2 linked regions of the Caenorhabditis elegans genome follow. The protein of the gene in region 2 interacts with the protein of the main gene of each other region in a pairwise test. Each region holds a gene or a part of one and is shown on either strand. Other genes may lie near its edges.

Evidence for each region.
Region 1: the proteins of mek-1 (region 2) and C33G3.6 interact in a two-hybrid assay, tested with the Caenorhabditis elegans proteins (one large-scale study listed by BioGRID).

Annotation. Positions count from the first base shown.
Region 1 is NC_003284.9:14,082,355-14,086,285, forward strand, and holds the start of C33G3.6 (Non-specific serine/threonine protein kinase), read right to left. Parts: upstream 1,965-3,931; 5' UTR 1,962-1,964; coding exon 1,866-1,961; intron 1,552-1,865; coding exon 1,306-1,551; exon of another isoform or gene 1,240-1,305; intron 1,168-1,239; coding exon 682-1,167; intron 498-681; coding exon 417-497; intron 370-416; coding exon 242-369; intron 192-241; coding exon 150-191; intron 105-149; coding exon 39-104; intron 1-38. Other genes in the region: F16B12.1 (CUB domain-containing protein), read left to right, coding at 3,216-3,347, 3,400-3,527.
Region 2 is NC_003284.9:7,477,496-7,481,426, reverse strand, and holds mek-1 (Dual specificity mitogen-activated protein kinase kinase mek-1), read right to left. Parts: upstream 2,180-3,931; 5' UTR 2,172-2,179; coding exon 1,988-2,171; intron 1,939-1,987; coding exon 1,706-1,938; intron 1,656-1,705; coding exon 1,512-1,655; intron 1,457-1,511; coding exon 1,145-1,456; exon of another isoform or gene 1,019-1,144; coding exon 848-1,018; 3' UTR 422-847; downstream 1-421. UniProt on the Caenorhabditis elegans protein: Dual specificity protein kinase which may phosphorylate kgb-1 and thereby is an essential component of the JNK pathway composed of mlk-1, mek-1 and kgb-1. May also have a synergistic role with sek-1 in phosphorylating pmk-1.

The sequences.
Region 1 (3,931 bases), 6.6 Mb from region 2:
TACATTGTTTTTTTTCGTATAACAGTTTAAACACTCACCTGCTTACATGCGAATTAATCCCTTCATGATAGACATTTTGACTTGATGCTCTTTGAATGTCTCGTCTGCAAAAAAATGTTAAATTATTGTAAAAACTGATTTTAACTTACGGATCACAATAGGGTAAATGATCGGAGGACGTATTTTTCAACCTAAAAAATATATTTTTAACAATTTAACAACTAAAAAAGATGTTTTATACCATTCCTGCTGTCCATATGATTTGTTATTGTAAACGTCTTGATTTCTATCAGTGTAGTTGATGCCATTCGATGAGTTTTCATATTTATCTTGATGTGAATTGATTGAGCTTTGCCGATAGTCATTGTTCTAAAGTAAAGTCCAAATTTTAAAAAAAATTGTGCATAAATACTCACATAAGACTTCTGCATTTCAGGTTCCAATTGTTGACGCTCAGCTTCTTCCTTTATTTTTTCTCGATGGTTTAGATTATGTCTCTGAAATTATGAAATTAGAAAAAAAGACTTTATCTTCTCTTTTTTCTTTTTTTCTTTTTTTTCAAGAGTCAATTTATACAGTTTTCATCACATTAATTCGTAAATTTTTGCTAAGTGAGAAGATTATTTTATAAGCTCATTTCTGGGCTAGAAAATATAATTTGTCATATACATATATACTCACCAGCCTATCTGCATCAATAGTTTTTTGATCAAGAGATGCCAAAAATTCAGCAGACAAACGCTCTTCTTCAGACAATCGCTTTCGTTTTTCCTCTTCGGTTTCTCCTTTTTGAACATTTTCAACTGAATCAGTTTCATAATTATTCTTCATTTCATCTGGCTTTTCATCTATGTTAAATCCTTCATTGGTTTCTGCGCTTGTTGGCTTTTCTTGTCCTTGTTCTAACGGTTTACCACTTCCACCAAAGTATTTCAATTGAATCAAATAAGATTCATCTTCATCCTCTTCTTCGCTACATTTTCCGTTGCTTTCTGAATCGTGAAATTCATCAATTGATATTTCATCTTCACAATTGCTGGATGGCAGTTTTCCCGATGCATTTTTAAGATCATGCATTGACTCTTCCTTTTTGAAGCTTCTTATTAGATTCAAGTATGCGGTTTCTTCGTCGTCACTTTCAGGATCTTCTTCATGGTTTTTGGCGTTCTGAAAATAAAAAAGTTAAGCAAGTTGCGCATATTGCTGAAATATTAAGGAAAAAGGCGTTCTGGCTAGAATTATGTTATATATATATATATATATATATATATATATATATATATATATATATATATATATATATACCTGATCACTGTTCCGAGTTGATTTTTGATTCTCTCCAAAAAATTGTTCGATGGAAATGTTCTTCTCTACCGACATTTGCTTTTCTATTTTTTCCTCAATTTCACTATTTCCAATGCGGTTTCTTTCGATATAGTTTTTTCGATTTATTCCATTACATGCTGTTGCATTTTCGCCAGTGTTTTTGAGGTTTTCCGTGTTAGATTCATCCTTATCCTCTTCGTGCCGGCATTCTTCGTCGACTCCTGCCTGCAAAACCATGGTGGTATTTTTCTGAATTTTGATGCTCCGCATTAAATTTTGCATTTTCATAAACCCTATATTTTATATTGAAGCGGTGTACCGCACTAATTTTCAAAAAAACAGCGGTGGATCTCTTTTTTTCGAAAGGTTTCATTAGTCTTAAACTATAATAATTTACAAGTTCTGAACAACTTTCAACGAAAAATTATTTGAAGTTGTGAAAATTTATATCATCCAAAAAATTGTAGAAGTTAAATTAGGAAGCATTAACCAACACTTTTTCGTAATGTTTGTTCTTGAAGAATTTGTAACCAACTCACTTTATCCCTGCCCATTTCCCCGTGTCCGTGTTCTTCAGTTAATCGATTAGTGTCGTCAGCTGCGAACACAAGAAATTGGTCTTCGTGGTCGGACATACCCTGCAAAAAAATGCGTATAATTTTTTGTGAAAAATTTAAAATTAAAAAAATTGTAAAGTTGCGTTCACTTATTGAATTTTTAACTGGAAGCTATGGAGGAACAAGGGAGGTAGAAAAACGAACAGATACAAAATGGCATGATGGGTGGTAAAGTGAGACTGGACGTAATAGACGGAGAGAAAGAGCGCGTTATGTGCGATTTTATGGCAAAGGAAAGAGAGGAAAGATGACTCGTTCAAAAGCAGAAACTCGTAAGACCCTCCCGTCGTGAGAGCAGTAACCCAATCCAAGCATTTTTTGGGACCTGATTAGCCGCGGCCTTTTTTCGCTCTAAGCCCATAATGAGAAATTCCGTTTTCCTGAAAACATTTTTAGCGGGAAACTCTGAATATGTAAAAGCTTATGGAAAATTGGGAACTGTTTAAAAATATTCAAGAAACTTCGAGGCAATTTGATTAGTTACAGAAAAACAAAAAAATCTACATAATACATAAAAGTTTGCATAAATTTGGTTGAATAAAATTTTTTACGTTTGTCGAAAAATCTGCAAAAATTGTTTGTCAACATTTTTTTAGAAGACAAAAATAGTGCAAACAAGACTAACTATTTTTAAAGATTTGAGTTATGCGATCCAGAAATCTCGATAAACTCAATAAATGACTGACAAACTGTGAAGAAAATATTGATTCTAGCACCATTTGAGGGTAACATATTAATTTGAAATTTTTTGTATGTTTTGAAAATTCATAGACATAAATAGGTGGCCTTTTTGGTAGCCCCGCTCTACATGCACATTTATTTTGTCACAACTTAAACGTAATCAGTGGTTCATAAATCTTGTCAACTTTGTTCCAGACGAACTGCATAAACAAAATTGTTCTGATTGTTTTTTTTTAAATAACTTTATTCAAACTCTTTCATTTCCTCACCCATCAATATTGGATGGCATTTCGTTTATTTGATTCACTGCGAGAAGTAATTGAATATGAGTCTTCTGATAAACAATATCAGCTTCTGTTTATTTTGCATTGCGTTAATTTCGAGTCCTCACCGTTTCTCACTGATCATCAAAATTATTAGCTGAATAAGAATGTGTGAGTTCGAAATTATTGTAACCAGTAACAATCTGAATGCCTCTTTTGATAACATTTAGCTGATTACAGTTTATAGCCAACATAATTGTATTCAGGGATTTTTTGTGTCTTTCTAATTCCAATCATCACACATGCAATTGATAGTTCAAATGATGACATGGACTATGAAATCAAGAAAGGCAATTGTACCTGTGAAGAAGAAGTTTATGAGGCAACTATCGAACATGGAATCATCAAATCACCTCACTACCCGAATTCACAAAGTTGCGATGGAAGATGTGTCTACATTGTTAGTAAATTAGAGAATGTGATTGGAGTTAATAAATGTTAACTAGCTATAGATACTTCCACATCCCAACAAAACCGTTTCTCTTTACACATCGTCGTTTGAAATCTCCAGTCGGGCAAGTCTCATCGTTTACAGTCTGCTCGAGGAAAATGGTGAAAGAATTCGTATTCCGCATGCAAAGTAAGTTGTATCTTGTTTTAAATTAGAATAATAATTCAATAAAAATTAATTAAGCTCATTATTTTTTAAACTGCCTGTGAAAGGAGACCTATGTTCAGTTTCCTGCAATATATAATTGAAAAATACATGCTTGTGGGATCATCGTGAGATCAATTAGTCATATTGAGAATGCAAAAAAAAGAAACAATGAAAAAATTATGTTCCGTACAACAAAATTCTGTGCAAAACAGAACACGGCCAAGATATGAGAGTAGAGTTTTAAAGGAATTCGGTCTGCGTATAAGGGAATATCTTTTATACATTCGTTATAGATTTTAATGTAGAAAGTTAAACCGAAAAAAGCGAAGATCCCATGTCAAACTGTCCCATTTTTATGTAATCTACAAAAAATGCGGTAATTTTTT
Region 2 (3,931 bases):
ATTAGAGGAGACACGGAAATGAGTTGAGTCGCGGAAGGCGGACGAAGGGAGAACACCAGCCGGCACGAGTCCGCTCGGTTTCTATGGTGACGCGGGTAGGGAGAACCCGCCATTATTTAAAAGCTCCGTTAGTAGCATATCCTAATAATCTCCAGCGACTAATCATTTGGATTCATTTAAATGAGAGAGGTGAAGCGTTGTCGCGCAGGTGTTAATACACTGTATGAACATTTCAGAGTTGAGTAGGATATCGTTTGATAGTATTTAGTTTCACAAAATATGTACACTATTTCGAATACTTTCAAATATTGTTCAAGACACCATAGTTCCGATTACCTGTTAACTCGCTAGTTTCTACAGATCTGGAATTTGATTACTTCTTTCTGTAACGCTTCGTTCAAAACTTGTAAAAAAACGAACGGTCCATAGACTGTATTTAAATATATAAGATTACAACAATATCCGTTGAACAATTTGAATCACAATTTTAATGTCCACAGTAATCTCTGACGAGAAGACTAGCTGTGGATGGCTTAACTTTGAGACATATCATAATCAAAATATACAATCAATTAGGCCTACAATGATACTATACATCCGGAACATTCAAGTTTGGTAGACAGGGATTCGGTGAGAGAGGTTGGGAATTTTTGATAGAGACAACGGGAACGAGAACAAGTGAAAATAGGGTAAAAGTGGTAAATAGGGTAAATAAGGTAAAAAAGCAAAATTGAAAAACTTTGCACCATGAATGCTAGACCAGGAAATGTTATGAAAGAGATAGTGAATGGGATTGATAGTTTTTACAAATGATTTGGGAAATAACAATACGTTTGTAATTCGACAATTATCCGCACTCGCCCATCACATCGGCAAACCACTCCTCGACGTCGGTTTCAATTTTCTCGTGATGCACGACAAACGGATGCTGGAGGAGCATATCGTAATTGGGACGCATCGTTGGATCACGCTGCAGGCAGCTCTCGACGAGTTGACAGAAGTCCGGAGAGAATTTGGCCTGTAAAATTGTAAAATACATAAATACTAGTTGTGTACTGTTTCTAGCCGCCATAAAGCATATATTATGTCTACTGGTAGCTCTTAAAAGCTTTTTCTAGATGAATTTTTTACGAAGAGCACATACCGGATCCAGGCGCGGTGGCTCGTCATTGAGAATCTTGGACATCATGTCGAATTCGGTTCCGGCGTATGGGTACTGTCCGGTTGCCAGCTCGACCAAAGTAACACCAAAAGACCACACGTCACTGCGAATGTCATACGAGTCAAAGTTGTTGGGGTCGAGGCGCTCAGGACCCATGTACAGAGGGCATCCGGCTTGCTTCGAATGAGCACGAGACTCGATCAGTCTGCCAGCAATACCGAAATCGCAAAGCTTGATGACGCCACTCCAGTCGAGGAGAATGTTTGATGGCTTCACATCACGGTGCATGATTTGCTAAAAAAATCGGATTATATATTGTCCAAATGGTTCATCTGATTTATAAACTTACGTGCTTGGTTTTCAAGTAGTGCAGAGCTTTAATGATGCTCACACTCAACTTTCCAATAATTCTCTCTGGAATTGGCTGCTTGATGCGGATAAGCAGACGGTCAAGGCAAGTAGCCATGCACTCCATGCAGACACGGACGTCGAACTGAAAAAAATGATAATTGGAAAAGTCAAAGAATTCATAAAAATTCTTACGTTGGTGATGAAGTATCCGAAGCAACGTACAATGTACGGACAGTCGAAAGAGAGACAGATGACGTCAAGATCCATCAAAATGCGGGACATTTCATAACTGTTTGACGTCCGAGGCATCGTCTTCACAGCCATGATCACACTCTTGTATCTGCACTTTGTGACCGTACCGCAGCTTCCATGACCAATATCTTCCACGAACTGAAGCTCCTTCAAGTCAGCTTTACGACGGTTACCTAAAAATCAATTGTTACCGTTTCAAGATTATTTATTTAGCCAAATTACCTTGCAATGTGAGATATCCGGAGTTCTCCTCGGCCTGCTTCATGAGGTTCTTCACATTGTGGTCGTTACTACTACGGGATGGATGATGAGGCGCTGGCTGTGGCATTTGTTGCATGATCGGTTCACCACCAAGTCCTCCGAGCCCGCCAGGTCTGCCCATGCCAAGGTCGAAGTCTCTCTCCATCTTTTCACCTTAAAATTATTATTTTTAGTACAGAGAAAAAAAGAGATAAAGAAATATCAGGAAGAATCAAAATTTTGAATTTATATTTCTAGGATGAAAATATAAATTGTTGGGGCACGAAAAGAAGTGCACTAGCATTTCTAAGAATGAGAGTGGCTATACATATAAATAATAGGGGAAGTTATAAGAAAATGTCTTTGCTCTCATCATTACTCTCATCTCAATGCACTTTCGAAAAGTTCATGTACGAAATTAGAATGCATGATGTTGTTGCAAACAAGCCTCGTTTACGTCAATGGAAAGGCTCTTGCCTTTTGTGTTGGCTGAATATAGCAGCTGAAAACAAAAAGCGTATTAGCTTATACGACGAGGGGATCAAATGAGAAAGAGCTGCTGCCAAAACGAGAAAGGCAACGTTTTGAACTACTTTTCATTCTTGCCATGAGGATTAAATTGCATTACATCATGGTGAAAACATGGCATCACAGCAGCAAAAATGTCTCGAAAAGCGGCAAGACCGCATTGACGCCGTCGCAATTCCAATGCGGCGAGGGAGGAGGGAAGGGAGAGAAAAAACGAACGGCACACACACACACAAGTGAGACACACTGCGTAAATAAGTGCAAGAGTTACGTTGAAACACCGGGCACGCGACGCGACCGCGTGCGCACCCCCCTTCCGTTTCAAAACATTGGCGGTCCGTTCCCCATTTTTTTTTGTTTTCGACCTGTTTTTGCGATAGGTCAACTTTGAACTGAAGTTTATGTCAAAACGATTTGGTTATTTTGAATTTCCGGCATTGAACTGTTGAGTGAATAGAGTAAGAGTGTTAGAGAGAAAAAGAAAACAAACAAATTGTGATATGATAATTTCTGAAGGAAAAGTCAAGAAAAGCTGGGACTTTTCTGATTGATAATGATAAAAAACATTGATCATCATGTGAGGACAGCAACTATTATATAGTTTCTTTTGTAAAACAAAAAAAACGTTGGAAATTCAGAGAAAAGATTGTTTACCACTAATAATGTAATCGAATTGCGGTTAAAAAAGGCAAATAATAGTGTCGCGGAAAGTGGGAAAATTCCTAATATTTCGTAATTGAGAAACCATCGATTTCGAAATTAGGAGATAACATTGAGAATACTATTGTATGTATTTGAGAAGACGCAAACAAGAATTTCGACATTTTTTCTAATAAATGAGGAGACCCAATCAAATAAATAAAAACTATTTTTTTTTATATTTAAAAGCGGTGCTGGAAAATGTGGAAAGTCAAATTCTGAAAAACAACGAGGTGAAAACATTTTCTGATTTTAATTAGTCAGATAAATGCTAGAACACCAAATGCAAAAATCTCAAAATGTCTTGAATTCCATAAATAACAAATGCAGAATCAAGCCTAGTCATCGTGGCATTGTGGTCGTTACACTAAATCAGATATGGACCAGTTGTTGCATGACTCATCTCACAAGGTGCAGAGTTGGGAGCCTCTAACTTGTTTGTCGGCGACTGAGTTGATGGAAAATTATCAAAATTATGTCAAATCTTGATGGTTCATGATATGTTGAATTAATGCTTAATGTTTCTAGATATAGAGAATAGAACAAAAAAAAACTGGTCAGAGCAATTGCGCTGAACACAGAGAGCGTAGGAGCGGAGAGGAATCGATAATTGCGCTTTCATCCTTATCAGAAAAAATCATGATGTCTTTTATCATCCATATTTCGCAAAGTAAGACTGCCTCTTGGCAAGTGGTATTG